Alligator mississippiensis: one gene and its partners. The protein of the gene in region 1 purifies or fractionates together with the protein of each later gene. This does not show direct contact. Links are inferred from orthologs where the notes say so. Each region holds a gene or a part of one and is shown in the gene's direction. Other genes may lie near its edges.

Region 1 (7,651 bases):
CAGGTAAAGAGATTTAAAGATATTGGGCAAGTTGCTGCCAAAATTTGGAAGCAGGAGTTCATGCTTAGTTTCTAGTATAATGGAATCAATGGCAAAGTCTGCCCTGTATGGTTGTATTGTTGAATTGCTCTTCAGAAAGTGAAAATACTTTCTTTTTAAAATACAGTTTTGACTTTTCTTGCTAATAAACTTAACCACTTTTGGAGTTTTCTTGTGCACAAATTAGAAGGTACTTGCTTCACAGCTTGCAAGAAGAGGAGGTTAGACTAGAGCTTTGTGGTCAACTATTGTAACTTTTTCTGCTGCTCCTTGTCAGGCCTGCATAGTATCTAGTGAACCCAAGAGCTTGACTGAGATGGATCTGGCTATGTTTGAAATGTAATCTACCTAAGAGAGAGGTGCTATCAGTTGGCTGGTTACATAGCTTCTTTCCCCATTACTGAGAAATGTATTCTCATGATGTATGCTGCTGAGGAGTCCTTCTTGACCTGTATTTGCTTCTGGTGTTCTGGGTGGTGTTGATAGCAAGGACTGAATTTTCCCACAGCAATTGCTATCTGCCCCCCCCCCCCCCCCCAAATGTAAAACATTGACAATATCATCCAGGCTTTCTGATCTCTAGGTTAAATTGCAATGATGAACAGTATATGGAGTTATCTTTTGAAGATGACTCACAAGCCTTCGGTTGTGCCCAAGCTGCAGTGCTTGGTAAAACGGACTGTAGGGAGCACATGACATCTTTGCTTTAAACAGTAGGCTGGTTTCCTATTTATTTCCTGGAACAATTCAAAGTGTTAAGTATTCTTATTGGTAAAGTTTGACAATTTAGTTGCTGTAAATACATACAAGAAACTGCTGCTCTCGTCGCTGCACTTGTTGACATCAGTCGATTCGCTTTTTTGCTAATATATTTGAACGTGTGGGTTTGTTGTCATATTCTTGATAGAGGTGCTTGCCTCTGAAAGTAATTTCCTCTGTTGATATGACAATCCTGTAGGGATTTTGTGTAGGGTCCACTTATTCAGTTAGAGCTAGATCCAAGAAAGGAATTGCATATAGCAGCCCTGATTGTTAAGGTGCTGAGCATAGAATGGAATCCAGAACCCAGTGTTAGGAATGTTGGTTCCCTATACAGTATAATGGAAGACTAGGGCTGGTCTGGAATAGGTCTTGTGGGAGACATGGTTGAATATTCATTCTCCACCTGAGTCCAATGACCAGCTCCTGATCTGGAAGTCTGCCAGTGATGCTGCACTGGGCTAGTCCCCGGTACAAGGTGTTAGATCTGCTAGAGACAGAAGGCTTAAGAGCAGGCTCTGATTATGTCAGCTTTGTGGACAGACAAGCTTTGGGGCATCTCTGTAGACCCGAGTGGTTGGTTGGATGTGCTCAGTCCTGCCCTCCCTAAGGCCTGCTACAGATACAGTACAGACAAACCCCAAGGCATTTCCAAATGACAATCTCTTAGTGGCCTCCCAAACATTTCATTCCTCTGCATGGTGGCCCAGCTTCAACAAGGTAGGTGGAGAAGGTTTCCACCCAGCCTAGCTGATACAGAGAGAAATAACTAGCTAGTTCTACACCCTGGGCCATGGTACCATGTGGTGAAGGGCAGCAGCCAGAAGTTTGCTGGGAGGGGGGGAGGCAAAAGGGGCAAGTTAACCACCTCTGATGCTTCCCTTTCTCTCCTGCAGCACCCTGTTTCTGCTGGCTACTTACTGCCTTTGTACCATATCCTATCAACCCCATTGCTGCTGCTCTGCCCCCTTGCTGTTGGAACCAGAGCAACTGCATATGAGGGGATGATGAGTACTGTACCCCCCAGCTCCATTCCAGTGTTCCCCCCTCCTGACTCCTTTTAGGCACTGCCCTTGGCTAGTGCCCCATGTTACCCTACTGCTGATATCTGGTCATTGAAGTGATCTGTTTGGAGATGGGAAAAGTGAGTCTGATCACCCTCAGGCTGAAGAAAGATTTGAACTTACTCTTTTACTTCCTGGGTAAATGCTCTGCTATGCTATCATATAAAATGTTGGTATTTTTTTCCTTCTCATGCCATGTTTTAAAAATAAAGTACTCAACTGCATTTGGTGAAGGAGGTTGGTTTGCTTGGTATGCATTGCCTGTGCTCTGAGTATGGCCTAGCAGATTGGGACCTTCCAGGCATGTAGGCATCCAGCTCCTATATTCTGATCAGGGGAAGGCAAGTGTAAGTGGTGTTTTGCTCAGATTGGATCTGTGCCCATGCTCAGAGGCATAATTTTAAGCGCTTACAGGACTTTCCAATTAAATAGGGAGGTGCCTAGTAAGGTAAGCAGCCACCAAGTGGGGTTGTTTTGGGTTTAAGCATCTTGGTCCTTCTTTGGATCTATTTCTTAGACTTCACTCTCGCAAATTAGCATATTTTAAATAAACAATAAGACATTTGTATCCAATACCAGGGGAGCCAGGGTGCTTAAAGTAATATAATCACACAGATTCAGCCTGCAGTTCTACATCAACTTGATACAAATCTCTTACAGATGGTTTATTGTGGGAACTTTAGTCTCCAGAGCTGCATTTCAGAACTGAAGTAACAGTTTAAACCAAACTTTCAGGGCTTTTTTGATGGTTATAAACGTTTTAATAGTTTTAAATGTAAAGAGTTTTGGTTTGGGTTAAGCATTTTCTTGCCATGGAAACAACCCACTATAGCACTTCATTGTCCTTGTGTTAATTTGAAACTTGCTAGAAATTTATTGAAAGGGTTATGAAGCTGACTAATCAATCTTTGATTAGGATGAAAAATGGCTTTATTTTGGGTATGACTCTATTCTTAAAAAAAAAAAAGAGAGAATAAAGTGAAATGGAAAAACTGAAGTTTAAGTCATTTTAAAGTGTGTGCATATATAGATGCATGTAGGTCAAAGTATTTTTAATTTTTTTTTTTTTTTATCAGCTTCCTTTGGAAGATGAGGATGCATAGAATATGCTCAGTTTTGGGCATATCTGCTGCATCATTTGTGCTTCTGGTCAGTAGTAGCATCTTACCAATAGTCTCATTGTTACCTGGTCCTCCCTATCTTTCTGCCTGGTTACTGTCTCAAGTCTTGTATTTAGGCCTGATCCTGTGAAAAATTGCATGTGTTTAATTACTTCAATGTTTTCAGGCAGATAAGGTTCTGAAGGCTTCATGGTTTAAAGAATTTCAGGATGAAGACTTCAGATTGTAAACTGTTTGGGCTAAAGCGGTATGCTTATTATTAGGAATCTACACAAATACAAGGGAGTAGGGACCTTTATGTACTACCACAGTGTAACTAATGCAGCGCAAGTAATAAATAATGCTAATATGGCCTTTGGTTGGTTAGTTAAAATTTAGAATTATGTCACATCCACGTAAAGCCAAGATCCAATGACCCCAGAAATAGATATCCCAGTGTTGTCTGTAAGCTTGAAAGTTTGCTAGACAATAACTCTTAATAGAAACTCAGAATCTTGAGCGTCTAAATTCAAGCCCATAGGTTAGTAAAAAGTGTTCCAAGTGGGGGAGCCGAGCAGAGCAGTGACCAGCACCCCCCGGGACAGTGTTACTTACAGTATTTTATTTAATTTGATATCTTCAAATACAAATAATTTTCTATTACAGTTATGCTTAAGACCCCTGAGTCCCCCCTAGTTCATAGTGGAAGACAATCCCAGGCCTGAAGAACTTCTTGAAAAGATATCTCTATAGGGTGTTATTTATCAGTTCCAGACAGGCATAACTCCCCTTATTCAGCAATATGACCGTCCCCATGGGGAGTCATGCCAACGTAACAGTGGCTTTAGTCTGTCTCTTGGGCCATGCTAATACAGGATTTGCCCTGGTGGCTTGGAGGCACAGTCTTTTGCCAACACAGCTGCACTGGCAAAAGCCCAAAGCCCCCAGTTACACTGCAAAGCTGTCTTTCTCAGTACAGATGCTCCACAGCTGGGAGGTGGGTGCCGTCTGGTGCAGCACACCCCGCAGCTTCGCTGTCAGGGCTGTGCCTAGCCCGGGGGCGCTCTGCAGGCCTTCCTGGCTCCCTAGGCGCTTTGCAGTCCGCGTGACCTACGCTTGCAGCGACACCGCCTTCTCACCGCTCGGAGGGACACGGGCGGAGTCAGGGACTGGGCCCTGCCCAGTGGGGCCCTGGGACCCGAGCCCAGGCGCCCTGCGGGGCTTTGCTGTGTGTTGCAGGGCCCGTGTTCTCCTGGGGGTGCCGGGCTCTGCTCCGTGCCCCCTTTGAGACCCTGCTTAGGAGCCGAGGAGCATCACCCGCTTCCCTGGGCTCTTCCACGGGCTGCCCTAGGAGAGTGCAGAGGCCTCGGCCCAGGGACAAGCAGGTCGGGCCTGCGCTGCACGTGCCGTCCATGCGGCTTGACCCCCACCTCCCTCTGGGGCACGGGCGGGCAGCTGCAGCCGAGGCCCAGTCCTGGCGGCCCTCAAGGAGCCGGGCCATGCTCCGGGCCCGCCCGCTCTCCCTCGGCCCCGGCGAGTGGCGGGGCGGGCGGAACCCGCGCGGCGGGGCCGAGTTCCCGGCCGGCGCCAGCTCTGCGCACCGTCCCCCCCGCGCGCGCCGCCAGCTCCAGTGTCTCGCGCCGCCCGGGCGCTTCCTTCCGGCCGCCATTTTAGTCGCTGTTTCTGGCCTCGCGGCGCGGCTGCTGCTGCTGCTGCTGCCGCCGCCGCCGCCGCCTGAGGAGCGGAGCCGCCGCCATGTCCAAGCGCCACCGCCTAGACCTGGGGGACGACTACAGTTCCAGCAAGAAGCGCGCCGCCTCCGACGGGTGAGGGCAGCGGTGCCGCGGCGTGTGGGGACCCGGCCTCACGCCTGATCCGCCCGGGCCCGGAGCCGCGCGGCGCCTCCTCCCGGCTCTGCGGCTTCGCCCGCGCTCCGCGGGGGGGAGGGGGCGGCGCTCCCCCCCGCTCTGCCCGGCTGGCGGCAGATCCCCCTCGCGCTGCCTTGGGTGGTCGCTGCGCCTGTGTCGGCGGGAGCAGCCGGCCGGGCCCCGGGCCAGCGCTGAGGGGGAAACGGGGGCTCGGCCTCGGCTGCCCCGGGCCCAGCGACGCGACGGGCTTCGCCGCACTTTCCGGGCCGCAGCGGGCGACCGCCTCCTTGCCGCGGGTCGGGCCGGGTCGCTCTTGCCTCAGGAGAGGAGTGGAAACGCTTCCCTGCGCCCTTGGCGGCCTCCTCGTGCCCTGCTCGGGCTCGGCCGCTTGCTCTTGTTGTGTGGCCCCGAGCCCCAGTGCGCTTCTCGTCTCCTCCAGTATGGGGCATTTGGGACCTCCCTGAATTCACTCCATTCACTCAAAGTTGGTGCCTGAACTAAGGCACCTCTAGAGAAATAGCCAGTCGCTATCCTTGACAGTGTCTAGTTATGGGAAATGCAGCCCAGGCTGGTTCTCCGAGATAAATGGGGTTGTGGTGGTGTTGCTGCATTTAAAAAGGGAGGTGTGGGGGAGGGACACAGCATTTCTCAGATGAATCCGCTCAGCTTCCATGGCTTGGCGATGCCTCTCTGCTAGAGCGAAGAGCCCTGTTACCAAGTTCCTGGTTTCCATGCGTAAGTATTTCTAGACCCTAACCAGTTGCACCTTGAAACTTCCGTTTGTTCAACTGAACAGATTGGGTTCCTTCACTTAATTGTCATAAGGCATGTTTTCTGACGCTTTCCCCAAAACGTCCTCTCTTTCAACATTCTTACTGACTTGTAGTACTGGCGCTCAATGGAAAGGTAATCTAATTTGTCTTCTCCACAGTACTCCTTGCCTAGACATCCCAAGTGATCATAGTAACCCCCTCTAGTACTAGGAGTTCATATTCGTGGGGTTGTCCCACTGTGATTCCTAAGTCTTGTTGAGAGTCTCTGCTTTCTTATATAATCTCTTATCTTGAGGTATATCCTAAATCCTGGTTTTCTAGATGTCACCTTAAGTGTGGCAGTGTTAGAATGTGGATTGTTTGCCTGAATCCAGCTTATAAAAAGATCCAAAATGTTCTGAATCGGTGTCCTGTTTTCTTCATTATTTATCACTCCTTTGATCTCTGTCATCCACAAACTCTGCCTCTGGTAACTTTTTTTCTTTCAGATCACTGGTCGAAAATAGCCTAGAATAAATCGCTTAGCAAGTCCACCAGGAATGCATCTGCTTGAGAATTCTCAGTTATGATTACATTTTGGCACCTAGCAATTTTTTTAGTCAATGTAATGTGTGTTTGATTTAATTTTATTTTGTAGTAAATGTTAGTAGTACCAACTCAAGTATCTTATAGAAGTCTAAAGGCTTTTCTGCATGAGCACTCTTTTGCACCAACTTTCTGTATGCCACTTGCATTACATGAAAGTGGACACTGGTACCCAGTTGATCATCTTCAAAAGTAGAGTTAGTTACACTGCAAATAGGATTATCATGTTTTACAAGGGTTTACACAGGCAGTGGCATGGAACAGCTAGTGCAGTTTACAGTCACACTGGAGCTTATTTTGCAATACCTTTCTTGGGTGGACAAATCCCTGGTGTATTACATCAGCACTTTTGCATTTATTAGCCAAACTTGTCAGGTAAAAAATGATAGTGTTGTCCTTTTTTAATTCTCATTTGTAATTTGGGTTGTGTATTGGCTGTTCTATTTATTTTACTTGAGTTTGATGTCGGGTTGGCAGGTTTAAAATTGCCTTGATCATCTTTATGTATGTATGTATGTATATGTCTCTTGGAGCTTCCTAGGGTGTGCCAGTTCTGCTGGGACCAAGCCCGAGGTTCCAGGCTAGAAGGTCTAGCCCCTCCGCTCATGGTCTAACTGACTGTCATATTTGGGGTCAGTAAGGAATTTTACCTGATGGTCAGATTGGTATGGACTACAGGGTTTTTTGCCTTCTTCTGTAACAGGGCCATGACCCTCTACCCCAGGATCTGTTGTGCATATGTTGACAGCATTTCACAGAAACAGGACATTGGCTTCCATGGTTCCCCTGCTTTACCTGTGGCAGGTTAGGATGTTAGATCTGTGTTGTTGCATTGGGGTTGACAGTAATCTTATGTAGAGTTTAGATTATGGATTGTGTGAGATGGTTTGGGTAGGGATGGACTAGATGGCCTCTGGATGTCCCTCCTGGCCCTGCTTCTCTATGATTCCTCAGTGTTTCAAGCCATATTGAAAACAACATTAGGGGCCCACAGAGTCCTTTGGACATCTTACTTGGGTGCACATTGCCTGGTGACCTGTATCTATTAATTTCAAATGTCTCACTTCAGTAGCTGCTGTTTGTTGTCATCCAAAGTAATTGCTGCAGTGGAAAGTGTTTCATCATCTGATTTAATACCAGTTTACGTTTTTGCATTATCATTCACTTCACTACCATGTCTAATTATGAATAAAGAGGTAGTTAGCCATGTTAGTTTAAAGTCAGGTAAAAGGCAGCCCAGGATGACATCTGCCTTTTGCATGAGTACTTTAATCATAATGGGCCATTATTAGATTACTCTTGTTCTTGGTGTACTTAAACTTTTTAAATAGCTTTAACTTTGGTGTTTGGTCATTGGATTTCCTTGTGTCTTTGCTTGGATTTTTTGTGTGCATGTTGGAGGTTTTGCTTTTTGTTTCTTTTATGTGCTTCCCAAGTTCTAGTTTATTCTTTTTTCTCTATTT
Region 2 (7,298 bases), on another chromosome or scaffold:
TGGGCTCTCCCAGGTCCTAGGCATGCTCCAGGCAGGATTAGCCTCCCCTCCCCCTCCCAGGGGCTCAGGTTCCCTTCCAGTTCCCCCCCAGGCCCTGGCGAGGGCTCAGTCAAACCTGTTCTACCAGGTGGGGGCGGGGCTGAGCCGGGTGCCCCCATGTGGGCAAGGGGGATGATACAGACGGGAGCCAGGTAAGGGCTCCCTGCCCCCCCCCCCAGCCCTGTGCCCACCTATACCCAGAGCACAGTGGGGGAGGGGGAGGGGGAGGGGGGGAGAGGCTGGGAGCCTGGATGCCTGGGTTCTCTTACACCTTGGGGAGGGGAGCAAAGTGGGGTAGGAGTGAGGGGCACTGATAGGGATGGGGGGGCAGAGGGCTGAGGGTCAGGAGTGGTGGGTACCAACAGGGCTGGGGGCAGGGGGCTGCAGGTCAGGAGTGAGGAGGGAGGAGGCAGGGGGCTGCGGGTCGAGAGTGAGGAGGGGGGAGGCAGGGGGTTGCGGGTCAGGAGTGAGGAGGGGGGAGGCAGGGGGCTGTGGGTCGGGAGTGAGGAGGGGAGAGGCAGGGAGTGAGGGGCACCGCAGGGCAAGGGGCTGCATTCCCCTACATAAAGAAGGCTTCAGCTGAACAAAGAGCAGCTCTGAGCAGAGGCCCAACAGCAGGAAGGGCAGTAGGGCAGAGTGGGCGGAGATGGCTCAGTGGGAAAGGGGGGGGCGGCTCTGGGGTGGGGCTGGGGCACAGGGCCTTGGCCCAGCTCCAACCTGCTTGCTGTATACCCCAGAGCCCAGGCCCCCGTGGGCTGGGAAACCCAGAGCCCTGTAGAGCATCCACAACCAGCGAGGGCCCCGCGGCCCCGGCTGCCTGTAGGACTCTGCTCCTCCCTGAGCCGCGATCGTGTTTCGGGTTGGGATCACACAATGGGCCCAGTGTGCAGCCCACGTTCCCAGGGGATGCCTGAGCGGTCCAGCGCCGTCTTCGCCTGGGAATTCTCCGCCCACCCGGCCAGGCCTCCAGGGCGATGGGCTCCCGGCTCCCGGCTCAGGGCTCAGACCCGTGTTGGAGGGGGAGGGGGCACGGAGGGGCTCATGGCAGAGGCAGAGCCCTGAAAGGTGGGGGTGTCAGGCCTCCAGGTATCCCACACTCCCTCTCTCTGTACCCCAAGGGCTGCCAGTCGCTCTGGTCTCAGCTGGAACTCTAGTGCCCTGGGAGGCAGCTGCATGGGGGGTAGGCAGGGAAACTCCTCATGGCCTGGCCGGCTTGGCCCATGGCCTCCAGACAGGCTCTGTGAAGTCCCATCCAGCCCAGCCCATGCCCGAGGCCCTGTCCCAACCCCCAGATGTGTCCCTGTGCTATACAACAGCCCCAGGGTGCAGCGACAGGCAGCACCTGGGTCCGAGTCCCATCTGCAGCCTGGGGCAGCCTGGAATAGAAGCAGGGAGACGCTGTGCTGCAGCCGCTGTCAAGATGGCTCCCACGCCTCTGCAGAGCTGACACCAGCAGTGCAGAGGAGGCCCCGGCCTGGCCGGTGGGGCTCAGCGCTCAGGCCCAGCCCGGCCGAGATGTCTCTGCACATCGCGGCCCCCGATCAAGGGCGGCTGAGCCAGGCTCTGATCCAGGGCTGCTCCCTGGGCTGCCCAGTGCCCAGTTCCCACATCCCGCCCACCCCTGCCTGCACCCCCAGCTCGTGACCCCTTGGGCTCCAGGCCTCCGCTGGCTCCTGCCTCTGACCCTGGGTCACGTCCTTGAGACAATGAGCTGATTCAGGGGGTGGCAGGGGAAACTGAGGCAAGGGACAAGAGGGGACATTCCCACTGGGGGGTGGCCCAGATTGGGGGTGGGGGCGCTTTTATACCAGTCTCTTATCCGCCCTGGCATGAGCCAATCCCGCGTGGCCACACATCACCACTGGCCAATCCCATGCTGGCGACCCAGGGCCACACACGCACATTCCAGCCTTATCTGGTGCTGGGCCCCAAAGCTCCTGCTGTACCTTATCTTGGGGCGGCTCCTTCCCTAGATGACAACATCCCCCCCGCCCCCCCCAGCTGCCCCCGCCAGGCACCAGTTGGACCCACAGGCAGCGTCCCACCCTCGTGATCACTAATGAAGTCATTAGCCAGCTGGGCTGAGCCCCCAGCCCGGTTAGGCAGGGCTTGCTCAAAGGCGCCCCCAGAGCTGGGTGCCCCCCAGAGCTGGTGCCCCCACACCTGTTATACTCTGCTGCCGACTCCCCACCCTAGAGCCAGTCGTGTCCCGGCACCGCCTTTCCGGTGAAGACAGAAAGCGTGTGGCTAGTGCTGGCTGGAAAGGGCTGTCCCGCTCCGCGCTGAGCACCCAGCACCCCAGGGTCCTTCCAGAGCGGGGTGTGGGGTCTTGCTTCCTGGTTTCTCTGCCCCACTGGGGCCAAAACTGCAGTCTCCACGGGGCAGGGGGCGGATGGCCTTCCCTTCCCACCCCAGGGGCTGCTTTCATCAGCCCTGGACCAGGAAGCAGGAGCTGTGGGTTCAAATTCCTGCAGAGGCTGCAATGTGGGGCATGGATGGGGCAGAGTTAAGGGCAGAAGGTGGGGCTCCAGCGCCCCCTGTGAGCTGGGGCTGCCCTGTGCCCACCCCCCTCAGAACTACAGGTCCTAGCATGCAAAGGCACTGAGGACTATGACTCCTAACAGGCAGTGGGGGTAGTGCCAAGCCCTCATTGGTGGCTCTGGCAGCTTGAAGGCTAGCCCAGGAGGTGATGTCACCGCATTGCTAAAGCACTTGTCACCTGCTGTTGGTGCTCACTGCCGGGCAGGAGGCTGGGGGAGGCAGAGGCACTCTCCCATTACCCACAACCCTTTGCATGCCTGGCTATGCCCACCCCAGCTCACACCACCCCCAGGAGCCTGTTATGCCCCCCCAGTACCCACAATCCTTTGCATATCTGGTAATGCTAACCCCCAGGAGTTTGCTACTGCCCCCCAATAGAGCCCTGAGACCCAGCGATTACCCAGGGCTTGGGAGATCCCCACGCGCCCAGTGCAGGGGGGGGGGGGCAGTTCCAGCTGTGTCCTCCCCCAGCCCTGGCTCAGGCCCAGGTCGGGTTCACCTCCTGCAGTCCACACCCTGGGGGTCTGGACTTGGGCTCTCACCCACAGGCTGGGCTGTGGGGAGGGCACCAGGGCTGGAGACCTGGCAGCTGGTTGGTGTGTGGGAGGGGGAGCAGATCAGGCTGTGCTGAGCTCTCCCTGCAGCGGGCGCTGTGGAGCCAGGGTTCTTGCCACCACGGGGTATCCCGAGGGCATGGCTGGGTCATCATCCATCCCATCACGGGAGACCTGGCTGCAGGCCCCATCCTGGCCCCGGGTGGAGGTGCTGGGGAAGTGTGACCTGAGCGCCCAGAGCCATGCCCCCTCACGCCCCTTTGCGGGAGACACAGGACTTGTGATCGTGCCTCTTGTGCGAGCTGAATGAGGCTACATGCCTGCCCCTTGCACGTGCTTGTGAGCACCTGCCTCGTGTGAGCCATGTGCGAGCAGGGCTGTGGCTCTCCCGTGCGCTCCTGATGGGGCCTGTCATGAGAGGAGAATGCAGCCAGGCGTGTGCCCCTTGCGCACGCTTGTGAGCACCTCCCTCGTGCAAGCTGGCACGAGGCTGTTGCGTGGATTTGGGAATGTGTCTCTTGCGTGAGCCGAATTTAACCAGGCGCGTGCACCTCATACACGCTGGCGAGCACCTCCCCCGTGCAAGCTGTGTGCAAACTGGCACGGAGCTCTTGCACAGACTTGTGAACACGTCTCTCGTGCCAACCGAATGCAGGAGGAGGGAGGGGGTCTGGGAATGGGGGGGCAGGAGGAGGGACAGGGTCTTGGGGGCAAGGTGGGGGGTGGGGCGGGGGTGGGGAAGGGGCTGGGTGCCCTGGGGGAGGGGAGGGGGGCATTGGGAGATGGGCAAGGATGCGGGAGGGGGCTGGGGGGATTGGGGTGGGGTTGGGCAGCGGGGGAGGGGCAGGGCTGGGCGAGTGGGAGGGGGCTGGGAGGACTGTGGGGAGGGGTTGGGCAGTGGGGGAGAGGAGGGAAGGGCGTTCGGGGGGAGGAGCAGTGGACGGGCCGTGGGATTGGGGGCGGAACCACCCCCGCACATGCGCACACGCCACGAGCCGCGGGTGGCCACCCTCCCGCCCCGTCCGCGGGGAAGCGCATGCGCGGCGGCACCCCAGCCGGCCTACAGCTCCCATCCGGCCGGGCGGCACTGCCCTTGTCCCTGACGTCATCGGCGCGCGCCCGCCGGAGGTTCTGTCGCGCACCGCCTGCGCAGTGCGTGGCGGCCGGGTCTGCGCGCGGCAAAGATGGCGGCCGAGCACCCCGAGCCGCCCGCGGCCGAGCTGCCCGCGCCGGGGCCCGCGGCCGGGCCGGGATACGCTGCCTGGGCCCCCGCCGAGCTGCAGGCCCGGCTGGCCGAGATCGGCGCCCCCACGCAGGGTCAGGAGGGGGAGGGGGTGCGGCGGGGCCCGGGGCTGCCCGGGAAGGAGGGGGAGGGGGAGGGGTTACCCCCGGGCCCCGCCGCTCTGACCCGGCCCGTGTGCGCAGGTAGCCGCGAGGAGCTGGTGGAGCGGCTGCAGACCTACACGCTGCAGGTGAGCCCCCGCCCCCGCACCTCTCCAGCACGTGAACATGGGCTGGACCCCACCTGCCCGGCAGCCTTGGCCAGGCCTGGGGGTGGGCAGCTAGGTGGGGGAAGGGGGCACGAGCCTTTCATCCCTGTAACCCAAGCCCTGACGCCTACACCTGTGCCCTTGCGCCCCTGCCCTGCCCCTCCCGGGCGGGTGGAGGAGCACAGGGAAGCCACCGTGGGCCCCCGAGACCCGTCCTGCCCCTGCTCACCCTGTGTCCTTCCCTCAGACGGGCATCGTACTGAGCAGACCGGTCCTGAGAGGAGAGGATGGCGACAAGCCTGCCCCGCCGCCGCCACGCACGGGCCCGGTAAGGAGGGTGTCGAAGCTGGGCGGGGGGGTCCCTGGCACAGATACCGACGTGGGGTGCGAAGCCTGGCCCCGTGGAGGAGCCACAGGAGGCCGTTCTGTCGCCTCGAGCCCCTCGGTTGGGTGGGGGGGCGTCATGCTGCCGGTCTGTGTGCTTGGCGCCGACCCCCCACCCAGAGCTGGCCGCATCCAAGTGAAGAGCGAGAGGCCTGAGGAGGCAGGGCATGGGACACCAAAATGAGCAGCTGTGCCAGGCATCCTGAGCCCCCCCCCACCCGTACCCCCCTTCACCTGGGCTGGCTGCATCCTGGTGAGGGGCCTTCCCGATGCTCTCCCCAGAGCCAGCGACATCCCAGTCCCAGGTGAGAGGTCCTGGACCCTCGGTCCTGATGGCCCCCACTCCCGCTTCCCCAGAGCTGGCCACAGTGTATCCTCAGACCTGGCTGTGTCCCACTGTCAAACAAGGGGTCCTGTATCCCCAGAGCCAGCTGCATCCCGGTGCTGGCTGAGGTATCCCTTTCCTAGCTGGGATGGCCACCCTAGAGCCAGCTGCATCCGAGCGAGGGGCCCTGTATGTCCAGCGCCACTGCCCACCCCAGAGTCAGCTGCATTCCAGCAATGGGGTAAGGGGACCCGAGCCCCAACTCCCTGCCTCAAGCCAGCTGCATCTCTGTTATATTCAGTCCCCAGCATCCACCCCACAGCTGGTTGCATCCTGGCAGACAGCCTGTGCTTTCCTTCTTACCTGTCTCTCTTGTTCCCTCCACAGCTCTCGGGGATCCCGATGCCCCCTCCACCGATGGGGATGCCCATGCAGCCTCCACCGCCCCCTCCCCCGCCACCAGGCATGGGCCTCAATTACTCCATGGGGGTGGGGCCACCCCCGCCACCTCCCATGGGACCTCCCCTGCGTGTCCCCAGTGTGGACCCCGTGGCCCTTTCAGAGGAGGAGCGCCTCAAGCTGGCCCAGCAGCAGGCTGCCATGATCATGCAGCAGGAAGAGCGGGCCAAGCAGGTCAGCTGGGGGCTGTGGTGTGGGGGGGTGGGCTGGGGGCTACAGGGAGCAGCTGTGGGGCTGCTGTCTTGGGTGGTTTGGAGAGGGGCATTGTTGGTCAGGAGGGCATGCGGTGGGTCTTTGGCTTGCTGGGGTGTCTGTATCTTCAGCCCTGCTCTCCTAGTCTGGAGCTGGCCACATCTTGGGGCCGGGCAAGGCGCCCTGTATCCCAAGCCCCAAAGCTTGCCACATCCCAAGTCTGGGCCTCATATCCCCAGCCCCGACACTTGCCCCAGAGCCAGCCACATCCCAGGGCTGGGCGGAGGGCCCTGTTCCCCCTGAGCTCTGGATAGGATCAGACCCAGCTGCCCTGCACTTTGGCACTGCTGTGGGCTGTGGTCTTCCATCCTGGTGCCCCCAGCCCTCTCTTCCCCCAGTATACTGGTGCCTACCCATTCATGCCTTGTTCTCTCACAGGGGGACAAGCTGAAGGAGCAGGAGTTGCTGGAGCAACAGAAGCGGGTAAGTCTCCCGCGGCATGTACTACTGGGTGGGTGGGGTAGCAGCACGGTCTCTGGCATAAATGATGCATGCCCCTGGAGACTGGGGGGGACACGGGGACTGCTTGCAGGCAGTGGGGGCATGGCAGCGAGCGGGGAGCTCCTGCAGGGGGCGGTGGCATCAGCGGTGATTGGTGACCGCCCGCAGATGCTGCTGGCAGTGTTGGTGGCAAGGGGGGTGGGTGGGGAGTGGTGACCACCCACAGGTGCCTCCGGCAGCATCAGCAGAGCTGCTTTCAGGGCGTGCACCACCAATCCCAGGTGCATGTGCACCCCCTGTGCATTACCAATGGTCTGTGGGGTCCCCTTGCCCCCTTTACCAGCCTCATCCCAGCTCTGCCATCAAGCTGTTGCCACACACTGAGGTCCTTGTCGAGACAAACCTGTACTCCGTGCGGGACAGAGATATCTGATGGTACTCAGGTGCAGAAAGAAAGCAGAATACCCTCTTTTCATATACCACATTCCCCTGGATAAGGCTGCCCCCCCCCCAGTTGCCCAGGTTACAGGTAACCTTGCAGGTTGGCTACTGATAAAAAGCAGAAATCGGTCTGCAGCTAGATATTTTTTTGCTTGCACCTGGAAACACAGAAAAACAAACGCTTATCCCTAAGTCTGGCTGGCTGCTGTGACAACACACCATAGGTGCCCACCTGTAGGGAGAATTGAGCTGGAGGGTGGCATGTAGGTTGGCAGGACTTGAATTTGCTGAGCTCTACAGGCTCCCCTTTAGCTTACGCCCCACGTCTGTAGGTGGCTGGTTCTAATATTCCAGCAAATGATCTCTGATTGG
Region 3 (7,879 bases), on another chromosome or scaffold:
CTAAAATTCATGTCACTGTCACAGTTTTAATTATTAACAAGTGGAGGAACGGAGCTAAAGGCTCTAGTCTTCACATTCTCTGAATCATGAAGTCTTGTAACTTTTTCAGGAATCAGTTTTTCCCCCTGACAACATAGAAAACTTGTTGGCAAATAAAGTATTTGTAACAACGTGACTTATTTTTCCCTGTGACTTGCTCCAGATTTGCCCTATAAAGTTGACTTGCGTTGAGACAGGAACTTAAAAGGATTAGGGTGTTCAATTTCCCTATAAAAAACTGAAAAAGTGTGTTTTATCATGTGACTGTTTAAGGATGTGGCTTTTGATGACAAACACCGTGCTTGTTTACTAAAGCTATACACCTCGCCCCTGGTGGTTTCATAAGCATCTACCTTGGTTCTGCTGAAACTACCGCCTGTTCTACCTGGCTTCTGCTTTCAGCTAAGGTCTGAAAGGTAATTCTGTAGCTCTGTCTCTTCCTGCAATTTCCCTACCTTGATTAATGATTTATGAGAGATCATTTTGGGTTCATAATTACATAAAATCATGAAGAATGAGGATAGGATTCTGACATTTTGCACTTTTAATGCAACTGAAGGTAGTCTGACAACAGTTTTTTCCCCGTTTTGAAGGAAATATGGTAGATATTGCATCTGTGTAGGGGGTGGACTGTTTTTGAACCAGGTTTTTTGGCCTTGCCTCCCTGGCAGAAAACCATCTTACAATGGGATCCTGGCAGAGTAGATGCAAAGTTCTTGCCCATTGGATGTTGACCAGGTATCAGTGACCAACTTAATAATGGTTTGGTGCTTTACAGAATGTTCCTCCCTCCTTATTCTCTGGATGGACTATGGTAGAAGAGAGGGAATGTTGTGATTCCTTCCCCTTGATTATTTACAGCAGTGGTTTTCAGCCTGTGGTCCTCAGCCCCTTGGGGGTCTCCAGACTGTCTAAGAGGCTTGCGAAAGATGACTGTGACCAGTCAAAAGTGCGTGAATACCCACACGTACAATGCAAAGGGGCCCACATCTCCATTTGAAATGTTTAGGGGTCCACAAATGAAAAAAAAGCTTGAAAGCCACTGATATATACAATTCTCTGTAAGTTCAAAATCAAGCTCGTTCTTGGCGTGTTGGTGTTTATGGAAATTACTGGTGTAATATCTTTCTTGCTGTGGCCCAGAGGAGAGAATGGTGCTTCGGGGGAGTGGGTCATAGACGCTGTTGGTACAAGTAAACAGAACTTAATTGATCTCATGGAGTTGTCTGTCGGTGCTAGTATGGAGTCTAGACCTGGAAGTCTAGTCTGGAAAAGCCCGTTGTAGCAAAATAGTTTCTTTTAAGCAAAGCTTTGGGCATGACACTCTTCCCAAGTAGTAGTCGAGTTGGAACTGCTTTTGCACCCAGTATGAAGACAGACCTTGTGTTTTAAGAAATCCTTTTGACATCTGAGTGCCATTTCATAAACAGAGGGATGATATGGTTGTTAAGACACTGGACTGACTCTAGCACAGACTTCCTGTGCAACTTTGGGCGAGTTGTTTGGGCTGAGATTTTTCTGAGGGGTTAAGAGATTAGGTGTCTAGTTACATTGTTTTCAATGGGATTTGGGTGCATAGCTCTTGAAGATCACTGACAATTTTAATTTTATTCTTTGTGCCTCCATTCCCCATCTATAGAATGGGGATAATTCTTCCCTACCTCAGGGGTGCTGTACTGGGATACTGCAGTGATTGGGGGATGGTGGGGGAAGCATAGAAATGCATAAAGCTATCTCATTCTCATGTCTGCTTTTCCTGGTGTGCCTACCACCATCGTACTATCTTAGTACTAATGTGAATCATCCCTTTGAGGAAGGCACGGTTCCCATCTCATTTTCTTCTAGACTAGAGACTGCCTTAAACACCCTTGGGCAGCTTATTTCCTGAAGCATGCAGCTAGGTCATTTCATAAGACCTTTCTGAGGCAGCAGGACTTGGGCTGACAGGTCAGGTGTGTATTGGCAAGTGAGGGCAGGGCGCTTTCCAGAGAATAAATACCTTGTCGGACTCCTGCAAATTCCACCTGGGGCTTTTGGCTTTCTTATCTCCTTTGAACAAAACTACTGCAACGTGCAGTGCAAGAGGTGGGGATTCTCTCCGGGAGCCGGGAAACAGGCCGCTGAAGGCTCTGAACATGACAGTGTGGCCTTTGGTCATGCCTCATTAGTTTAGAGTTTATACTCAGCAGGGGTTTTGTTGTACAATTACATCTTAATGGAAAGAGTTAAGGGACTTGACTCTGGTTCAGGCACTCAAGGAGACTCCTCACCAAAGTCCCAAAGCAATAGAGCCCACAGTCAGGTAAAGGAAGTTTCTGATATTGTTAAAACTTGTATTTTAATCTTAAGCCTTTCAAGATTTTTGTTTAACAAGGTGAAACATTTGTCTAGTTTTAACATGGTTTGTAAACTAGTAACACATTTAACTCTGTATATAAGCCTGTAGAAAGTATGAAAACACTGGAATAAAAAGGGCATATGTAGACAATCGTATATAATGACCCTAATATTAAAGGAAAGGTGGGGGGAATACTTTTTTTTTTTTTTTTTACCTGTAGTACACCTTTGGAGTACCATAAATAAGTGGAAAAAATAGCAATCTGGGGAACTTAGCTTAATGTTTTACAATATTTTTATTGTATAATTCACTACCAGATGTTTACATAGAAGAAAACGGATACAGGTGTGTCTCCATAACTAATGCATGGACATTTGCCAAAGGTTGTAATTGTAGCTATCTCCTGAGTCCCAGAGCCTGTCTGTAACTACATTGCAGAATCACAGAATTGAGGAATCTTTTTCCCAAAAATGTACTAGATACAACCACATGTGGGTTTTGCAGTTGTGCTGAGCTCATCAAAGAATTTGGTGCTTCTTATCTTGAAAAGTTCTTCCTAGCAAGTTCAGCTATGACACCAAATGGTAACTAGTGGTATCCTTATCTGAGTCTGTCGAACATTGATGCGTCTTGTATAGTTATCTAGAAGAGCTGAACAGTGACTGAAATCGAGACAAAATTGTATTCTTTTAGCTTAGGGCTCTTGCAAAAATGACACTGGTCAAGTTAGATCAACTCTGGGTGACCAGCAGATCAAAAAAATTAGTCTTTCAAAAGTAATGAGAGTCCTGATCCACTTCTCTACTGTACCTTAAACGCAGTAGAAAAGCTTGGTGTTTCCTGTTCTCTGTAAAACGACGTGTCTTTGCACTGTTGTAAACGGGTTTGGGGGTTTCTATTTATTTCTTTTGTGTTTTTTGTTGCTAGGATAGCTACGTGGTGGCTGTCGCACCTGGTAAGGTAAATAGATATATGTAAATCACGGGACTGCAATGAAACGTTGTGTAAATATTAACCGTTCGTACTTGGTGCACAAGAAAAGGTTTCATTATATGTTTTCCCCATGCTGACACTTCATGGATTAATTTAATGTATAATTAGAGTATCTCTGTGTATTACCAAAAACTTGCTTATGAGATCTGGCACTCGGAATAGAAAAGAATGTGAATTTGCAACGGAATCTTTCTGGTTCTTTCTTCAGCCGCTTTACCCTGTGCTGTTGTGTGTCCCGTAGCAGAGGATCTCCCTCTGCTCACATCCGTGTTTCATGGCTGGTGATGCTGCAGGCACCCCTCGGGATTGTTGTGAGAAACTTAAGGATGTTTTGCCCTTTAGCTAGGCGGGTCAACACTCGAATCCCTGCCCCCGAAGGTTCATATGTGGTACCCAGCCACGCTGGTGCTAGCCGCAGATGAGGCAGGGAGCGCGGGTCTGGGAACAGAAAGCGGAGTGGCGGTCCGTAAGGGTGTAAGGCTTAACTAGTGGTACGCTTAGCAAAAAGGCTGGCTCCCTCCCCTCTTTAACTGGAGCCAAGTTCCTGCTGGCCCCAGAGACTGGATTTTCAAGTACTCTGTTACCAGAGCGGGGCATTCAGCAAGGTATTTTTCAAGCTCTCACAAGGAGCAAGATGGTCTGTTTTTGGAAGAAGGAGCAAGGCCTCTACGGGACGGGAGAGAGACGGCGCTGAGACCCCCGGGCCTGGCCGCGGGCGTGGCGTTCTTCTGTGTCTGCCAGAAGCCAGGATGAACGTTAAAAGCCGTAACAACAAATGCGATGGAGAAGAGAATGACCTGTTCCCCTGCAGCCCTGAGAGCTCGAGTACAAAAGGATGCGTCCGAGACTCTGAAACGAAACCGGACCAGTCCCCTTGAACTGTAGGAGGTAAGGAAAGACCTTTAGCGAATAGAGAGAGAGGGGGAGGAGGGGCTCGGGTGCCGGGGCAGCTTCCCTGCCTGGGCTCCGCGCTTCCTCCTCCTGGACCGGGGCCGCACGGTCCGGCTTCCTGCGCCCGCGGCTGTGGAGGAGGGGGAGGGCTGCGGGGCGGGGCGGGGCGGCGCGGCGCGGCGCTAGGGCTGTTTTCCGTTCCCGTTTGTGCAAGCGCTGCCGCTCCTGGGGCGCTGCCCTGGCGGCTCCCCGCGGCTCCGGGCGCTGCAGGCAGCGAGGAGCAGAAACGCGAGTGGGGCGCAGGGGGCCGGGCCGGGCCGGGCCGGCGTCCGTCTACTTCCGAAACGGGGACCCAGCCCCGCCTCGCGCATGCGGTGCGGACGGGACGCCCGTGACCAGGCCCGCCTTTAGCCCGTGCTCTGTAACGTACTTCCTGGACACGTGCACGCCGCATAACGGCCACTTCCGCAGCACCGCGCGCGCAGGGGGGGCGGGGTGAGGCCGGGGCCAGGGCCGCTCCGCACTTCCTCCCGGGGGGCGGGGCGCGCGCGGAAGGCTGTGCGTCGTGACGCAAGCGTGGGGCGCGCGGCCGTGACCTCGTTTCCATAGCGACGGGGCCGTAAAGCGCGGCGCCCAGTGCCGTCAAGCCTTTCGCGGCACTTCCGGCCGCTGAGGCCTAGCGGGATCGTGGGGCTGCGGCGTCTCGTTCCCCGCCGCCGCCATGGAGATGCCGTTGCCGCCCGACGGTGAGGGGCGTGGGGGCTGCGAGGCGCTCGGGGCAGTCCTGGTGGGGCGGGGCGGGGCGGGGCGGGGGTGGCCGGGCGGGCGGGCGGGCTGTCGGGGGTGGGGTGGGGTGGGGTGGGGCGGGCCGGGCCGGGCCCGCGAGCGCGGTCGAGCCGCCCTGTTTGTGGCCGCAGACCAGGAGCTGCGGAACGTGATCGACAAGCTGGCGCAGTTCGTGGCGCGGAACGGGCCCGAGTTCGAGAAGATGACGATGGAGAAGCAGAAGGAAAACCCCAAGTTCTCGTTCCTTTTCGGCGGCGACTTCTACGGCTACTACAAGTACAAGCTGGCGCTGGAGCAGCAGCAGCGTGAGTGCGGCGGGCGGGGCCGGAGGCGGGCCCTGCTCGGGGGCGGCTGGCGCACACCTTCCCCCCCGGCGGGCGCAGCCTCGGGGGCGCGGGCGCAGCTGCGCGGAGCTGGCGCTTTGGGCCCTGTCTCAGGCGCGCACCCCGTGCTGTCGCGCCCACTGCCTCGCCTGCCCTGCGCGTCTTCGGAGACGCCGCGGCAGCTCCGCGAGTCTGAAAACGTGCCGGCAGACGTACCCGTGCCGCTTCTCTGGAAAGCTGGTTTTGGCCTGACCAGAGCGCTTTACAAACGGAGCTGAATTAAACCGCTGGGAGCGCATCACGGTTCGACCTGCCCTTTCCTGTTAGGAGAGAGAGAGGGCGGTTTGGCTTATGGAGCTAACGTGGGAATAGTCTGTGTCTTTGGGGTTGTACATGGTTTTAAAAGGGCTTTTGTCTTTTATCTTGAAAGTGAGTGTTTTCTTCCTGTCAGTGTTGTGCAAACAAACACAAGATATTGAAACCACTGCACAGATCCAGCCTTTGTCACAGCCGTCGCTGCCCCCGCCGGCTGCTCTCCCAGCTCCTCAAGGGGCGCCCTCGGTCGAGGAGCTCATTCAGCAGAGCCAGTGGAACCTGCAGCAGCAAGAGCAGCACCTCCTTGCGATGAGACAGGTAGGCTTGAGGCGGCTCGTGAGCCCCGCTGATGCGCCAAGCGGCGGTTGTGCGGCTGCAGGGTTGCATGGCTTGGAACGATGACCCGAATGAGGAAACTTAGTGTCTTGCCAGAGGAGGACGATGCGAGCTGGCATCACTTCATGTATGGCATCAGCTGCAGAACAGAAAGAATAGACTCCGTAGAGCAGAAGTAACTAGCCATTGCTTTGCTGAGACCCCATTTATAATTCGCCAGGAGTGTGAAGACCACGGTGGTCCTCCATAAACTGGAGCGAGTTGCAATTATCTTCAACTTTGACATGGTGCTGTGGCTTGTCAGGACTGCATCCAATTCTGGGCTCCACAATTCAGAAAGGATGTGGAGAAGCTTGAGAGGGTGCAGAGGAGCCATGCACATGATTAGAGGTCAGGAAAACGGACCTTATGACGAGAGGCTGAGAGCCACGGGACTCTTCAGCCTGGAAAAGCGCAGGCTCAGGGGTGATCTGGCGGCCTCCTTTAAGTTTATCAGGGGTGACCAACCGGATCTGGCGGAACGTCTGTTCACCAGAGTGCCACAGGGGATGACCAGGTCGAACGGTCACAAACTCTTCCATGACCGTTTCAGGATGGACGTAAGGAAGAACTTCTTTACTGTCCGAGCCCCCAAAGTTTGGAATAGGCTGCTGCCAAAGGTAGTTTAAGCACCCACTTTGAACACCTTCAAGAGAAAATTGGATATTTATTTTGCTGGGATTCTATGATCCCTGTTGACTTCCGGCCCCTGTGGCAGGGGGCTGGACTCGATCTTCCGAGGTCCCTTCCAGCCCGGATGTCTATGAAATCTGTGACTACACACCCAAGCATGACATGCTGCGTTTTTTATTTAAATACTGATTTGGGGCTGAGATGAAAGGTTGTTCACAAAAGAATTACTTTGGGAGCGATGGTTCGTTGTTAAAGGTGCAGGGTACCTACCTCACTAAAGGTTCTCTGGAGAAAGAGTATGGGCTTATGTTAGGCCTTCAGCAACATTTTAGAGGCCCTTATTTGTTTCCTGATAGAGCAGGGGTGCACAAAACGTGGCCTGCCAGGCCATTCTGTCCCACAGGGCCCCTAAGAAATTAAAAAACTATATATTTATCTGCCCCTGGCTGCCTGTCATGCAGCCCTCAATGGCTTGCCAAAACTCAGTAAGCAGCCCTCCACCAGAAATAATTGCCCACCCCTGGGCTAGAGCAACTGGGAGGTTTTCTCATGGTAGACCAGGGAAAGGCGACGGTGATAACCAGCTGAAATATAGCTATGCTTCTCCCACTGTGAATAGAAAATACGGCCTCTAAAGGTATTAAGCCGCTCCTGTGGCTAAAGTGATTTGAATGTTTCTGTTGAGTTTTTATGCCCAAAGAATATAGGGTGTATTAAAATTCAGCTTTTTTTCAGGAACAAGTTACATCAGCAGTAGCCCTTGCAATTGAACAACAAATGCAGAAAGTCTTGGAGGAGACCCAGCTAGATATGAATGAATTTGACAATTTGCTACAGCCGATAATTGATACATGTACAAAAGACGCAATCTCAGTAAGTAAGCATCTAAACTTATCTGTACGTTCCGTGTTTGCCTTCGGAGGTGACTCGCTCTCGCTTGTTATGAGCGCAGAGGCAGGTAGTGTGAGGAGATTGTTTTAATGTAAAAAGATTGGGCCGCTGTTGTTAATTCCACGTGGTGTCATAAACTGTCTGTTCTGTTCATGGGCAGCTTGTTGGCAGCTCTTCAGTGCACAGTGACAGCCTGTAACCTGGACCACCAACCTTGAGGCGTTGAAACAGCAGATGGGGCGGAATTGCTACTTAAAGATACTGTCAGTCCCTAGTTCATAGTACAACTGGGAAA
Region 4 (7,137 bases), on another chromosome or scaffold:
GCAGCCACTGGTTCGTGGCTCGGCCCACGCGCTGCAGCCTGCGCCGTTCCCAGGGCTTAACCGCAGCAGGCTTCCTGGCGAGAGGGCCCCCGGGCTCCTCTTCCAGCTGGGCTCCGGCGCCTCACGTTTTTCACCAAAAAAGGCAAGGGCCCAGCTGCACGTCGTGCGGGAACATCTGGATTTCATCCCTGTCAGGAGCGGGTCACGGGACGCGCCGCGCGGGGCTGGATTTACGGGAGGGGGCGGGGTGATGTCATGCACACGGGTCCCCCGAGAGCTGGCGGAAAACAGGAAAGGGGGAGAGAGGCAGCTGGGCAGGACGGGGAAAGAAGCCGCCCCTGCACCCCTCTCTCCCCCTGTGCAGCTCTTGGCCCCGGGGTGACGGGGTGTTCGAGGCCGGGCATGCCCCAGCTGGGCTTCCTGCACCCCTGCCGTGGGCCTGAGCCCTGGGGCAACTTGCCCTTCTCTTAGCACGTCCGTACGAGCATTGCTGGCCAGGAACCAGAGCTGCCGGGTTTCGCAACGGCTGGGGGCCATGCGCCAGCTCCAGACATCCCCACCTCCCGCTGCAGGACGGGGCAGACTGGCGACGGGAGGCTCGGTCCTTCTCCACGGGCTTTCCCTATGGTGGTGAAGCCCGGAGAGAGCCCCTCCACCAGCCAGAGCCGGCGGGGTGGGTGGGTGGGACGCGACTTGAGGTTCAGGTGTTCCCCTCTCCTGGGCTGGAGTCTCGGGCTGGGGGAACGGCGAGTCCGGGGTCTTATCTCCGGCTTTATTTTTAGCCAGGCGTTCATAGGGAAGAACCGAGGCGGCTCGTGGGAGAGCGATGGCACGCGATAGCCCCGGAGTGGGCAGCGTCCTCCCAGCGGAGCAGGGGAGCCCCGGGCAGGCCGTGCCCAGTCCACTTGCTGCTGCTGCTTTCATCAGCCTTAATTTAGCTGCCAGCAATGTCACGGCATGGCAGGAAAAGGCCGGATCCCTTGGGGCAGGGACTGCGTAACGAGAGGGGGGTGTTGACTGGATACCTCCACCCCCATCCCTGCAACGCTGGCCAAGCAGAAACCCCACAGCCAGCGCAGGGGGCCTGGATCTGAGCCGTTAGCAGCTGCTGGGGATGAAGGGAGCCGGGGCTGTCGCATGTGGTGGCACAAATGATTGTGCCCCCGGGGTGGACAGCTGCAACTGTGACCAGAGACTGGGAGCTGTCACATCCCGAGCAGGGGCCCTAGGCGTGTCCCTGCACCCCCAGCTGCGTGTGCCCTGAGGGACGTGGACCCACTGCGGGGATCCTCTGCAGGGGGGTGGGTGAGTCCTGCACTCATGGTGCGTGCAAGCGAGTGCTGGGAGAGAGAGGTGTGTGTGTGTGTGCAAACGTACACGTGTTTTGGCTGCACGGCACCCATGTTAGGAGTCGCTGCAATGCCCTGCTCCTCCCTGACCCCCTCTCTGCCCTTCCCAAACACCCTCTTGGCCCCTTCCCCTCCGGCAGGCACGTCCCGTGGCTGCTGTCCAGCTCCGCTCCGAGTCCGCGGCCGAGTTACCAGCCTCCCCCCTGTGACTCTGCCCTTCCCACTCCGTCTTTGTTCCTTGAGAAAGGTCGCTGTGCCTCCGCGCAGGTCACTCCTGCTCCTGCATCCAACTGGCAGCATCTCCCTGCCGCTTGTGCCACCATATATGGACAGTATTGGGGAGAGAACCATCCGCGTGGGGCTGCAGGCGGCTTGGCCGCCGGCCAGCGGGAGGGCTTCGCTCAGCTGAAACCCCTCCACGTGGCCGGGAGAGAGCGCGGCCCCCAGCTCCTGGCTGTGCACAGGGCAGGCGAGACCCCCAGTGGGGCAGGGCAGCGCCAGAGGGGCCCACACGGTGCTGGAGAATTGCAGCCCCCTGTTAACCTCCCTCCCACCCCAGCTCAGATGCCCCCGAGCTGAGCGGGGTGCAGCACATGCAGGTAGGTGGCTGCAAGGACTGGAGCAGACTCAGTCAGGAGGCAGAGCCCATCTCGGTGCATGGTGCTTGCTCGAGGTGGCTGGCACTGCTGGCGAAGCCCCTTGCTGTGGGCAGTGGGCCAGCCTATGTCAGCTTGCACCTGCATTCCCACGCTGCGCTGGGAACGGGGCCTGCTGGATTATCTGGTTCTGGGCTTGCCCCTTTCCTCCAGTTTTGCACAGTGCTGAGCAGTCAGTCTCCCCTGCAGCTGCTCTCTAACTTGCTCCCATTTCAGTCTCCCATTTCACTGGGAGTAGGGGAGCAGGACACCTGGGGAAGCCCAGAGGATAACAGCTGGCTGACCCGCCGGCCTGGGGCACATCCTCTTGCTGCTCCAGCTGGAGGGAGCCAGAGCTCAGCCCCACGAGGAGAGGGAAAGAAACGCCAAAGCCATCTCACCTTGAGAGCAGGGAGAGATTGATTGCAGGCTCTTTCCCAGGACAGCTCAAGCTTGCCATCTGCCGGAGGCAAAATAAACGCTTGTTCCTATTTCCCTATCCGCCAAAGGGGCGCGTGGCGCTCCCTTCCAGGGAAGAGCTGCCAGCTGATCATAAATGAGACGTCCCCACATTTCAAACGGCGTTGTTATTAAAGTTGTTGCAGCCACGATAGACAAGGAAATATATGAGAAGCATTTCTTTCTTTTTAAATAATACCTTTTATTGGACCAACTGTATTGTGGGGAGAGGCATGAGACCGCTTCAGGCACAAAGGGCCCTTCAAGCATCAACTGGAAATGCTGCCACGAAGGGCATGTTCCTAGCTGGCTCGTGCGCCTATCTTGCTGCAGCTGCTGCTGGGCTTCCCAGTGCCACCGCACGCACACGAGCTACTCGTCTACACGCGTGAGGCCATTCGAGCTCTCCCCGCTGCATGGGCACCGTCGACACCGCGACTCCTGACTGCCCTGCCGCTGCCGCAGCTTCCATCACCTCTTTGTGGGGTTTTCCAGTAAGCACCTTTGCACGTCAGTGCATCCCGCCGGCTACGCAGGGGCGGCGCTGCCCTGAACCATGCTGCGCCCGCAGAGCCCTGCTGAGCAGTGGCGCCGCACCGATCCTTCCAGCTCCCAGCGTCTGTTTGCTGCAGCTCCCTGCTCTCTCCCGTCTCTCATCGTAGCCTGGAAAATCCCTGGGGCAGAGCCTGGGCCCGTCCCTTCTCCAGCGCCGCTCACCCGAGCACGCGCGTCCAGGCCTGAACGTCCAGATTCAGCTTCAAATGCCGGGGGGGGGGGGGGGGGGGCACCACTGCTTTAAAAAAATATATATTATTTGTTTATGAATCCCAATGATCAAATAAGAGATTTCACGTTTCTAGATGCATCCAAGCTCCTAAAATGCACATAAGGAGAGGTGTTTATCGCCTCCGCGAGCGCTGCCGTCACCCGTCGGCACGTGCAGGCACCTTGGCTCGGCGTCCTTCGGTCTCTGCGAGTCGCTCCGTGGTTCCCGTCGCCAGGTCGCTCCTCTGCATCCTGCACCCCTCGTTATCGTTTGCTCCTCTTTTACATTTCACATTTCACACCGGGTTTCTCCGCTCGTGGGCCGGGCGTGTCGAGGCTCAGACAGGTTTCTCAGACGTCCTGGGCTGGAGCCGCGGTCTTTTTCTGCAAATTCCCCAAATTTTAACAAATTCCAAGAATCCCCCCCCCCGGTTTTGTAAGAGGGCCGGGCCGAGTCGTGGGCAGCGGTGGTGGCAGACGTCTCACCGCGCTGGACCCGTGCACTGAACCTACGCACACGCGCACACCCTTGCACGTGCTGACATATGTGCACACTCACACACATTCTGGCATTATGTGCACATGCTCATGCACACATGCTCACGTGTATGTGCACATGTGCCCACACGGGACTATGTGTGTGCATGTGTGTCCCACCCACACGCTCACGTGTGCACACCTGGCGGGTTTGGAGCCGAGCCCCTGCGGAGCGGGAGGGGGAGGGGGCTCTTTTTGCGGCGGAACCTTCGCGCCAGCAGCAGTTTCCGTCCGGACGCAATAGGACACCCCACGTGACTTCCGGCCGGCGCGCCGGAAGTGGGAGGAGGGCGGTAAACTCGGGGGCAGCAAGGAGGGAGGCGGAAGTGGCGTAACCGGCTTCCGGGCGGCAGGAGGGGAAAGCGGAAGTGGTCCGGGGCTGCTTCCGGGCGGCGGGCGGGAGGGCCAAGATGGAGACGATCCTGGAGCAGCAGCGGCGCTACCACGAGGAGAAGGAGCGGCTCATGGACGTCATGGTCAAGGAGATGCTCACCAAGAAGTCCACGGTGCGCCTGCGTGCGTGCGTGCGTCAAGGGGGGAGGGGGTCTGTGGATGGGGGGGTGTATAGTGTGCGTGTGTGTCAAGAGGGGGTCTGTGGATGGGGGGTGGTGTATAGTGTGCATGTGTGTGTGTGTGTGTCAAGGGTCTGGATGGGGGGTGTATGGTGTGTGTGTGTATAGCGTGTGTGTGTGTGTGTGTGTGTCAAGTGGGGGGGTCTGTGGATGGGGTGTGTGTGTAGTGTGCATGTATGTGTGTGTGTCAAGGGGGGGTCTGTGGATGGGGTGTGTGTGTAGCATGCGTGTGTCGGGGATGTCTGGATGGGCAGTGTGTGTGTATAGTGTGCATGTGTGTGCATCAAGTGGGGGGGTCTGGATGGGGTGTGGATGGTGTGTGTGCGTACGTGTGCTGTGTCAAAGGGGGTGTCTGGATGGGGGGGTGTATAGTGTACATGCGTGTGTGTCAAGCGGGGGGGTCTGGATGGGGGTGTGTGCGTGCGTGTGTGTCAAGGGGTGTGTGGATGGGGGTGTGCGCGTCAAGGGGGTGTGTCTGGATGGGGGTATGTGTGAGCGTGCGTGTGTATGTCAAGGGGGGGTCTGTGGATGGGGGTGTGCGCGTGTGTCTGTGGTGGGGTGTGTGTGTGTGTGTGTGTACACACCTCTCCGCCACGTCTCCCTGTGTGCGAGTGCACGCGCTGCCCAGCCGCGTCTCCTAGCTGGGAGTGAAGCCGCGCTAACATCTCTCCCTCCCTGTGTCTCTTTCTGTGCCGGGCTGCAGTTACGGGACCAGATTAACTCGGATCACCGCACGCGCGCGATGCAGGACGTGAGTACCGCCGCCGCCCCGTCCCGATGCCCGTGGGCCACCCTGGCCGGGGGGGAGGCGGGAGGGAGCGGGCACGGCGCAGCGCGGCGCGACAGGGACGTTGTGGGGATACTTGAGAAACGCCCCAGAGCGGGGCGCGGGACGCGCGGTAAAAGGGAGACGTCCCGCCATGCCTTGTGGGCAGCCCGTCGGAGTCCAGCGGCGCGCTGTTATACGACCGACCACGATGGCGCTTAAACACCCGGACATCTCTGTTTCTGAGTGTAAATGGAAAAGGGCTTGTGCTCTTCTTGCACGTGCTTTGTGTGACGCCCCAAGGTCTCTTCCCCTGCGTTCTCCTGAGGGTGCTTAAGCATTTTGTTGACCTGGGTTTGGGCAAATGGAGCGTGGGTTAGATGCGTTTACTTTGAGCCCCAGCACCTGTACGGCTGCTGTAAGTTTTGCATGGAATAGAATAGGACGGGAAGGGACCTGTAAGATCCTTGAGCCCGGTCCCCTGCCTTGGGCAGGAGGTAATCGGGCTCAAACAAGCTGAAGGAGATGCTGTTTACAGTTACATAAATATTACATTGTAGCCCCTTACTGATAAGCTGACTTCCACCGAAGAGCACAAAATGACTTGGAAACGTGATGCTGTTCCTGGAAACACCTTCAGCAGCTAAATGGACCAGTGTTGCTTTTATTGCTCGTTAATGAGCCTTTATTTGTTGGTACCAAAGGAGCAGCGGATAATTCTGTCTAATGAGAGCCCTCAAGGAAGCCTTTTCAGCTACTTTGTTGCGCGGTACTTTGTTGCAGAAGTGCAGGCAGAGCATTGACATGTAGTGTGCTCTTTTCTCAGAGGTACATGGAAGTGAGTGGCAATCTGAGAGATTTGTATGATGACAAAGATGGGTGAGTGTTTGCCAAAATGCCTTGTCTGACCTTTCCTAGAGCTGAAAGCTCTGCAGAATAAATTTCACTTTTGTGCTCTGCAAAGATCCCAAAGGAATTGATGGTATTGAAAGCCTACTTGGAACAAAAAGTGCCAGGGCTGTAGTGCATGTAAATCAGCGCACCTTTAGGGATTAAAAAAGAAGAGGTTTTGTTCTGCTTTTTCCTTCTTCTTTTCTCCATAATAAACTTAAGTTTCCTTCCTGGATTTTGACCTCGCTTGCCAAGACGGGAGGGAAACTTTTGTGTTGATTATATATCATTAACAGGGGATATCTTTGGGAATCCTAGAGCAATCTGATTAGTACCATAGAGCAGCATGTTGTTACGGAGGGCTGTTGAACACTGTCTGATCCAAAATGTTTCGTGGGGTGGGAGACAATTCAGCTGTAGCATACATTTTCTAAAGTGCCCTGTTGGAGAAGTAGTGGCTTGATGAGATTCAGTTAGTGAAGGTGCACAAAAGGTCAGGTTTATTTTGCTCTCCTGAGAAGTCAGTCAACCCCAAACAGAGAGAATTGTAGTCCAAAAGCCAACAAAGTGGTTATGTGTGGGTGCTAATAAAACTCTCCGGGTTCATTTTAAGACCTAGTATATTCAGGTTTTCCAGAAAATCATACACGCCAGTGGCATCTGACTTCTGTGTTTGAACGTTTTAAACCAATGCTCTGGGTTTACTGCCGAGCTGGGTTCTTTATCATGTGAAATGGATGTGTTTTTCTTGGACTAGACCCGAAGGCCCGTAACTGGGGAGCACCTTACCGCATTATAGGTGACCAGGAGAGCTGGACTCCCAAATCCAAACCTTTCCGAGTATGAGATCTCTGTGCAACTGTTAAGCGTATGAAATTTAGTTGAGGGCAGATGGCCGGTTTTGGGGGAATCTTTCGTGTAATTGTGAGATGAAAAGAAATGGGATCAGCTTTGTAGATGCTCCTTATCCTATCCTCTGTTGCCCTCTCATTTGATTCAACTTGTTTCTTGCGGAACCTCAGGTTACGGAAGGAGGAGCTCAGCGCCATTTCGGGGCCAAATGAGTTTGCAGAATTCTATAATCGGCTGAAGCAGATCAAAGAATTTCATCGGAAGCACCCAAACGAGGTCAGTGGCCCTGCGCTTTGTGTGGGGAAAAGAGA

The links.
Region 2: the proteins of DHX15 (region 1) and SF3B2 purify together in Homo sapiens (co-immunoprecipitation; 3 studies listed by BioGRID and IntAct, with this or other methods). This does not show direct contact. The link is inferred for Alligator mississippiensis from reciprocal best matches to the Homo sapiens genes DHX15 and SF3B2.
Region 3: the proteins of DHX15 (region 1) and CHERP purify together in Homo sapiens (co-immunoprecipitation; 3 studies listed by BioGRID and IntAct, with this or other methods). This does not show direct contact. The link is inferred for Alligator mississippiensis from reciprocal best matches to the Homo sapiens genes DHX15 and CHERP.
Region 4: the proteins of DHX15 (region 1) and SF3A3 fractionate together in Homo sapiens (co-fractionation; 3 studies listed by BioGRID and IntAct, with this or other methods). This does not show direct contact. The link is inferred for Alligator mississippiensis from reciprocal best matches to the Homo sapiens genes DHX15 and SF3A3.

The regions. Positions count from the first base shown.
Region 1 is NC_081825.1:39,040,069-39,047,719, reverse strand, and holds the start of DHX15 (ATP-dependent RNA helicase DHX15), read left to right. Parts: upstream 1-4,639; 5' UTR 4,640-4,717; coding exon 4,718-4,788; intron 4,789-7,651.
Region 2 is NC_081838.1:5,518,958-5,526,255, reverse strand, and holds the start of SF3B2 (splicing factor 3B subunit 2), read left to right. Parts: upstream 1-4,295; 5' UTR 4,296-4,318; coding exon 4,319-4,451; intron 4,452-4,559; coding exon 4,560-4,606; intron 4,607-4,871; coding exon 4,872-4,952; intron 4,953-5,720; coding exon 5,721-5,966; intron 5,967-6,422; coding exon 6,423-6,467; intron 6,468-7,298. UniProt on the Homo sapiens protein: Component of the 17S U2 SnRNP complex of the spliceosome, a large ribonucleoprotein complex that removes introns from transcribed pre-mRNAs.
Region 3 is NC_081839.1:375,308-383,186, reverse strand, and holds the start of CHERP (calcium homeostasis endoplasmic reticulum protein), read left to right. Parts: upstream 1-4,875; 5' UTR 4,876-4,982; coding exon 4,983-5,007; intron 5,008-5,178; coding exon 5,179-5,352; intron 5,353-5,821; coding exon 5,822-6,003; intron 6,004-7,428; coding exon 7,429-7,566; intron 7,567-7,879. UniProt on the Homo sapiens protein: Involved in calcium homeostasis, growth and proliferation.
Region 4 is NC_081829.1:1,211,986-1,219,122, reverse strand, and holds the start of SF3A3 (splicing factor 3A subunit 3), read left to right. Parts: upstream 1-4,126; 5' UTR 4,127-4,155; coding exon 4,156-4,251; intron 4,252-5,020; coding exon 5,021-5,068; intron 5,069-5,909; coding exon 5,910-5,962; intron 5,963-6,996; coding exon 6,997-7,102; intron 7,103-7,137. UniProt on the Homo sapiens protein: Component of the 17S U2 SnRNP complex of the spliceosome, a large ribonucleoprotein complex that removes introns from transcribed pre-mRNAs.